Danio rerio: one gene and its partner. The protein of the gene in region 1 interacts with the protein of each later gene in a biochemical or structural test. Links are inferred from orthologs where the notes say so. Each region holds a gene or a part of one and is shown on either strand. Other genes may lie near its edges. The genes, in order: mapkapk5 and hspb1.

Region 1 (3,827 bases):
GCCTAAAGCAACGTCTGCTGATAAAAACTAGCCTATAACACTGTTTGCTGTAAAAACACTAGCCTAAACTAGCCTAGAGCACCATCTGCTGTAAAAAACTAGCCTGTAGTGCCGTCTGCTGTAAAAAAAAAACTAGCCTAAACTAGCCTAGAGCACCATCTGCTGTAAAAAACTAGCCTGTAGTGCCGTCTGCTGTGTAAAAAACTAGCCTAAACTAGCTTAGCGCTCCATCTGCCGAAACAAACTAACCAAAACTAGCCTAAAGCTTTGTCTGCAGTTAAAAACTAGTCTAGACTGCCATCTGCTGTTAAAAAACTAGCCTGTAGTGCCGTCTGCTGTAAAAAAAACTAGCCTAAACTAGCTTAGCGCTCCATCTGCCGAAACAAACTAACCAAAACTAGCCTAAAGCTTTGTCTGCAGTTAAAAACTAGTCTAGACTGCCATCTGCTGTTAAAAAACTAGCCTGTAGTGCCGTCTGCTGTAAAAAAAAACTAGCCTAAACTAGCTTAGCGCTCCATCTGCCGAAACAAACTAGCCAAAACTAGCCCAAAGCTTTGTCTGCAGTTAAAAACTAGCCTACAGCAATATCTGCTGATAAAAACTAGCCTATAACACTGTTTGCTGTAAAAACACTAGCCTAAACTAGCCTAGAGCACCATCTGCTGTTAAAAAACTAGCCTTGAGTGCCATTTGCTGTAAAATACTAGCCTAAACTAGCCTAGGGCTCCATCTGCCAAAAAAAACTAGCCAAAACTAGCCTAGAGCTTCGTCTGCAGTTAAAAACTAGCCTAGAGCGCCATCTGCTGTAAAAAAAACTAGCCTAGAGTGCCATTTGCTGTAAAATACTAGCCTAAACTAGCCTAGAACTCGATCTGCCAAAAAGCTAGCCCAAACTAGCCCAGAGCTTCGTCTGCTTTTAAAAAACTAGCCTAAACTAACCTATTGTGCCATCAGCTGTTAAAAACTTGACTGTAGTGCTGTCTGCTGTAAAAAAACTAGCCTAAACTAACTTAGAGTACCATCTGCTGTAATAAAAAACTAGCCTAGTATGCCATTTGCTGTAAAACACCAACCAAAACTAGCTTAGAGTTCCACCTGCCAAAAAAAATAGCCTAAAGTAGCCTAAAGCATCATCTGCTGTTAAAAACTAGCCTAGAGCACCACCTGCTGTAAAAACCTAGCCTAGAGTTCTGTTTGCTGTAAATAAACACATAGCTAATGGTCTAATCTGATTCAATAATCTATGCTAAGCTAAGCTAAAAGGGCTCCCACCTGACATGGAGATTGGCTTAGTGGGTTCAAAAAATGGTAAAAAAAATTTTTTTTTAACTATAGGAGAGCTGTAAATTGAGCCTACTTCCAAAAACAATTGAGTGTTCGTTTAAAACTGCCAAATTTTAATAATCAGTTCAGTCACACAGATGAATTTGCAAGTACTGGATGCTATTCTAGTGCACAGTATAGCTTCTAGAAAATAAACCTCAGACACAAAACACTTACCATCCCAACATAACCCATGCAATCCATCTCTGAGAAGTTTGCAATCACGATTCAAGCGCCAAGCTTCATGCATTACTTCATTTAGCTTTTCGTCATCACTGTCACCTGTGGTCATATAAAAAAAGAGACAAACTATGATGTGCTTCATGGTTTTTGGACAGCATTATAGTTTATCCCTGCAGACATTTTCAATGAAAGCTACAAATCAACACTGAGAACTTTTTCTGGATGAGTTGTTGTTTAGTTAAAAATAGCGTGGAGCGCCATCTGCTGTTAAGAACTGGCCTAGAGCGACATCTGCTGTTAAGAACTGGCCTAGAGCGACATCTGCTGTTAAGAACTGGCCTAGAGCGACATCTGCTGTTAAGAACTGGCCTAGAGCGCCGTCTGCTGTTAAGAACTGGCCTAGAGCACCATCTACTGTTAAAAACTAGCCTAGAGCACCATCTGCTGCTTCAAACTAGCCAATAGCGCCAACTGCTGCTAAAAACTAGCCTAGAGCGCCATATGCTGGTAAAAACTAGCCAATAGCGCCATCTGCTGCTAAAAACTAGCCAATAGCGTTATCTGCTGCTAAAAACTAGCCAATAGCGCCATCTGCTGCTAAAAACTAGCCTGGAGCACCATTTGCTATTAAAAACTAGCCTAGAGCGCCGTCTGCTGTCGGAAACTAGCCTAGAGCATAATCTGCTGTTAAAAACTAGCCTATAGCGCCATCTGCTGTTAAAAACTAGCCTAGAGTGCTGCCTGCTGCTAAAAACTTGCCTAAAGCGCCATGCGCTGTTAAAAACTATCCTAGAGCGCCATCTGCTGGTAAAAACTAGCCTAGAGCACCATCTGCTGGTAAAAACTAGCCTAGAGCACCATCTGCTGTTAAACACTAGCCTAGAGCACCATCTGCTGTTAAAAACTAGCCTATATACAACAAAATTAACACTAAAAGAGTGTTTTTACACCAGTAATGCCCAAACTAAGACCTGCGGGCCAAAGTTGGCCCACGGTAACCTTTGATTTAGCCCACCATCCCATCTGAGAAGAAACAGAGATGATGGGGATGGTTTCGAGACTGTCAATTCAAATCTAATGTAGCCTTTGTTTGTTTGTTTTCTTTGATTATATGGTGTAAATCAATCAGATTATCTTTAGTCAGCAAATTAAGTCAAAGGCAGATTCTGCTTGACCAGTGTATTCAGTGTTGGACTGCACTGTGTTATAACTGTTGCAGTTTTTCTTATTGCAATAAGTTATCATTTTAAATGTTATACTGCATAAGTTAACATGATTTAAAGTGATGTTTTACATTTATATTGAAATATTATGAAATAAATTAGGAAATTACCCATGGCAACTTTAGTGTAATGTAGTTTAATATATTCACCTTCAGCCCACAGCTCTCAATGATATTTGGATTTAGGCCTTCATACGGAAAAGTTTGGGCACCCCTGGTTTACACAATGAGTGGGTTTATACATACCAGCCTGTGGTAATATGCACTGTGCGATCACATCCCTTAGTTTTTCCAGAGCCACATTGGTGTCCTCCACCTCATTCTCTGGATCATTGATGAACAGCTCGTCATTGGGTTTGGTGCTGCAGGGTTTAAGCACAGTCTGTTAAAAACAGCACTGTTAGTAAGGCAGGAGATAATGTGAATGAACTGAACGTTTACCCCAGCAGCTTTCTCTTTCTCAGAATGGGGTTGTTGACGGAGTTGAGGGGTTTCAGACTCAGATTGAGGTCTTGTATCCTCATGTTGGCCAGCTGCTCTGCATGAGCCTGTTGAATTCCTGCTACAACTGCCTGAATGAAGGAAATACACATACAAGTAGTGTTTTAGAAGTAGGTTTATTTTGGATATGCACAAACCTATCCTCAATTCTAGAATTGCCAATATCCATATATGGTTTAGTGCTGTACAAGAATGATTGCGATTAACCACATCCAAAATAAAAGCTTGTTTTGACATTATATATGTGTGTATATTTATTATATGCAAATGAAGTCAGAATTATTAGCCCCCCGGTTTCTTCCCCCAATTTCTGTTTAACGGAGAGCAGATTTTTTCAACACATTTCTAATATAATCATTATAGTTTTAATAACTCATTTCTAATAACTGATTTATTTTATCTGTCATGATGACATTAAATAATATTAGACTAGATATTTTTCAAGACACTTCTAAACAGCTTAAAGTGACATTTAAAGGCTCAACTAGGTTAATTAGGTTAACTAGGCAGGTTAGGGTAATTAGGAAATGTTTTGTATAATGATGGTTTGTTCTGTAGACTATCGAGAAAAATATAGCTTAAAAGGGGCAAATAATGT
Region 2 (3,972 bases), about 71 Mb from region 1:
TGAAGAATATCTAGTCAAATATTATTTACTGTCATCATGACAAAGAAAATAAATCAGCTATTAGAAAAGAATTATTAAAACTATTATAATTAGAAATGTGTTGGAAAAAAAATCTGCTCTCCGTTAAACAGAAATTGGGGAAAAAATAAAGAGGGGAACGAATAATTCTGACTTCAACTGCATATGTGGGAAAAAAAATTTGTCTTTAAGGCAGTTGTGTCAAACTCAATTCCTGGAGGGCCGAAGCCTTGCACAGTTTAGTTCCAACCCTGCTCCAACACGCTTACCTGTAGGTTTCAAACAAGCCTGAAGGACTCAATTAGTTTGATCAGGTGTGTTTAATTAGGGTTGCAACTAAACTGTGCAGAGATGCGGCCCTTTTGGAACGGAGTTTGACACCTGTGCTTTAAGGTGTCTCATTGTGTTTTTTTGTTAGTAAATTGAAGAAACGGGCAAAAGTTATAGAAAAACGTAATTTCCGTAAATCATAACTTTTGAAATCATTTTTTTATTAAAAATACCATAAAAAGTAAAATCATTGCTTTTTATCATTACAAGTTACTTTTTAAAAAATATTTTTAAGGAAAGAAATGGAAAAGTAGGTGTCATGTTTGCCTATTCTTTAATGATCAAGAATGATTTTAAGACACTGTTGAGTACCTAAATGTGATTTTTTTTTATTTAGAAATAAAAGAGAGGAGGATAAGAAACAAGATAATGATAAAAGAGTGACATAAAAGTGAGATGAGAATACAACATGGCAATCCAGCCTCTCATACAGTTAACAAACACCCAGAAGACATTAACATCAAGAGTTAACATCTTGAAGAAATCAAGAGTAATGTGTGTGTATGTGTGTGTCAGTGCGCGCGTGCGCTCAGGGTTTATTTTGTGGTGCTGACGGTGGTTTTGTTGACAGGGATGTTAACTTCTGGGGCCTGGATGGCAGGTTTGGGAAGCGGAGCTTCAACAGTCAGGACTCCTTCAGGAGAAAGACAGGAGCTGATCTTCTCAGAGTCCACACCAGGGGGCAGACTGGAGCAAAACACAAAAACAACACAATTATATAAAGACGACAGAGTTTCCAGTATTAAAGAAAAGATCATGTTCACATATTAAAACATTCATGTATGCACATTACAACCCTTTCAGCTCACTTTTGTCATACTTGGAATAATAAAAATATAGATTGGAGAAATATAATGTGATATAATAAAATGTGCTGCAATATAATAAATATTTATATATATATATATATATATATATATATATATATATATATATATATATATATATATATATATATATATATATATATATATATATATATATATATATATATATATATATAATTATAAATAAAATAATTATAACATATATAAATGATAAAAATAGCTCAAAAGAAAAAATAGCAGAGAAAAAAATAGCAGAGAAAAGCTATGCATCACAAAGATTTAAAGATATAAAATGTTATGCAATGTGATGCATAAATCAATGTCAAGAGCCCTCATCTCCTATTTTCTCAGGAATCTCCCAGACTCTTGATCCTCCCTATCTAGTGTGCTTGAAGTGTGCATGTCTGGAGAATGTCTGTACTTACGTGTATTTCCTGGTGAAGCATCTGGAAATGAAGCCGTGTTCATCCTTTCTCTCCTCATGTTTGCCTGCAGACGAAGAGGAGACAAGTTAAAAGTGAGATATTATGCAAACATCACTTTAATAAGGAGTTTAAACTCAGTTGTGTGGCAGAGGTGTGTGAATATAATGGTACAAATGAATTAATTCTATATTTTTATAATCAGGCTTGATCAAAACAGTCTGCAGGAACACTTCGATCGACATTCTGCCTTTGTACTTGTCATCAGAGTGGGAAAGCCCCGCCCACTAGTGACCCTCTCTCCCTCATTAGCATAAACAGCAGCCCTGAGTGAGAAGCAGCCGTCTGTCCATTAGCCATTAGAGTGTTTGAGCTGCTGAAGATGATGTCAGCAGAGACTAAGAGGATTATAGATGTGGAGTTTATAGATGTGGAGTCTCCATAGACTGACTCATTCTCATACACTGGCATTCACATCACATTCAATTGTCTACTGAAGAAGCCTCTGGTATACAATAACTTGCCTAATTACCCCAACATGTCTAATTGACCTAGTTAAGCTTCTAAATGTCACTTTAAGCTGAATACCATCTTAAAAAATATCTAGTAAAAGCAGAATAAGGAATTTCATTAAAGTTTAAAACCATTTGAGTGTGAGTAAATGATAAGGGGATCCTCACTTGTGGGTGAGCTGTCCCTTTAAGAACTCTTGCTCTTGATATCCTGTAAACTCTGGCTGACCCAGCAGGTAACCAACACTAGCTCTGTTTGTTTAGACAACCCTTCTGACAGACGGCCACAGTGATGGACTTGATATGAGGATCATTAAAAGTCCAGCACATCTGATTCATAAGATAAAGTTAACCTCACTATTTGATGCTTTTACAATGAGAGGAAATGAAGGGTGGGACTCGTAATTAACGTGTTAATTTCTTTACTTTATATATGACTTTTTCATGTGGACAGCTTGGAATAGTGTTTTACAGCAAATACTGCGGTGATTTATAAACATATTGTAGTAAAATACTCTATAAGACTTAATATAATTCAAATGATTTTAGAAATACTTCAGAAAGTAAATCAAATAGAAAATAAATAAATCAAACGAAATCAATCAAATAAAATAAAATCGAATTGAATCAAAACAAATAAATAAAATGCAATCAATCTAAATCAAATCAAATAGACCAAACAAAATTAAATTAAACAGAATCAAATCAAAACAAACAGAATTCATTTCAATCAAATTAATTCAAATCAAACTGAATCAAATCAAACAAAATTGAATCAAATCAAATAGAATAGAATCAAATAAATTTAAATAAAATGCAATCAGACCGAACCAAACAAATCCAAACTGTAATGAATAGAACCAAACCAAATTAAACCAAAAAAACTAAAAATAAAATAAAGTACAATAAATTAAATGCAATCAAACTAAATCAAATCAAACCGAACCAAACCAAACAAAATCAAATCAAATACAATCAAATCAAAACAGAAATCAGAATTATTTTAATCAAATTAATTAAAATCAAACTGAATCAAATCAAACAAAATCGAATTAAATCAAATTAAATCAAATCTAATAAATTTAAATAAAATGCTATCAAACCAAACTGAATGGAACTGATCTGAATCGAACCAAACCAAATAAAAATAAAATAAAATTTTAAAAATGCAATCAAAATGAATCAAACCAAACAGAATCAAATCAAATCAATATCAAACAGAATTCCTTTCAATCAAATTAATTTAAATCTAATCAAATTGATTCAAATCAAATAAAACAAAATAAAATCGAATCAAATCAAAGTAAATCAAATCAAATAGAATAAAATAAATTTAAATAAAATGCAATCAAACCGAACCAAACCAAACCGAACTGAACAGAATCAAACTGATCTGAATCGAACCAAACCAAAATAAAATAAATAAAATGCGATCAAGCTGAATTAAATCAAACTAAATCAAAACGAACAGAATATTATATATTTAAAGTTTAAATATGGTAATTCATAGTAAATACTGTGTTTTGAATCAAACTCTATAGTCAAAGTCCCTTTATACTACAATACACCACAGTTTACTGTAGTAATAACTAAGGTATTTAATACAGTTTATTAGTGACTGATGGGGAGGGGGAGGAGTCTCTGTCAGATTTATTCATGTAAAGTCTGAAGAGCGCAATATGTTGCCATATTAACATATTTAATAATTGAAAATATAGCCAGAAAGGTTGTCCACTGCAGGCTAAGTGGAGAATTGCATTAAAAAAGATATGCTTCATTCCTTAAATGTATTAGATATTAAATAAATATGTTCTTGCAAAGTTCCAATTGTAACTTTTTTTTTTAATTAAATGATAAAAATAT

Evidence for each region.
Region 2: of the proteins of mapkapk5 (region 1) and hspb1, one has a biochemical effect on the other in vitro, tested with the Homo sapiens proteins (4 studies listed by BioGRID and IntAct). The link is inferred for Danio rerio from reciprocal best matches to the Homo sapiens genes MAPKAPK5 and HSPB1.

What each region holds. Positions count from the first base shown.
Region 1 is NC_133180.1:75,578,366-75,582,192, forward strand, and holds part of mapkapk5 (MAP kinase-activated protein kinase 5), read right to left. Parts: intron 3,301-3,827; coding exon 3,170-3,300; intron 3,091-3,169; coding exon 2,975-3,090; intron 1,606-2,974; coding exon 1,501-1,605; intron 1-1,500. UniProt on the Homo sapiens protein: Tumor suppressor serine/threonine-protein kinase involved in mTORC1 signaling and post-transcriptional regulation. Phosphorylates FOXO3, ERK3/MAPK6, ERK4/MAPK4, HSP27/HSPB1, p53/TP53 and RHEB.
Region 2 is NC_133180.1:4,128,565-4,132,536, forward strand, and holds the end of hspb1 (heat shock protein beta-1), read right to left. Parts: intron 1,665-3,972; coding exon 1,601-1,664; intron 1,036-1,600; coding exon 885-1,035; 3' UTR 606-884; downstream 1-605. UniProt on the Homo sapiens protein: Small heat shock protein which functions as a molecular chaperone probably maintaining denatured proteins in a folding-competent state. Plays a role in stress resistance and actin organization.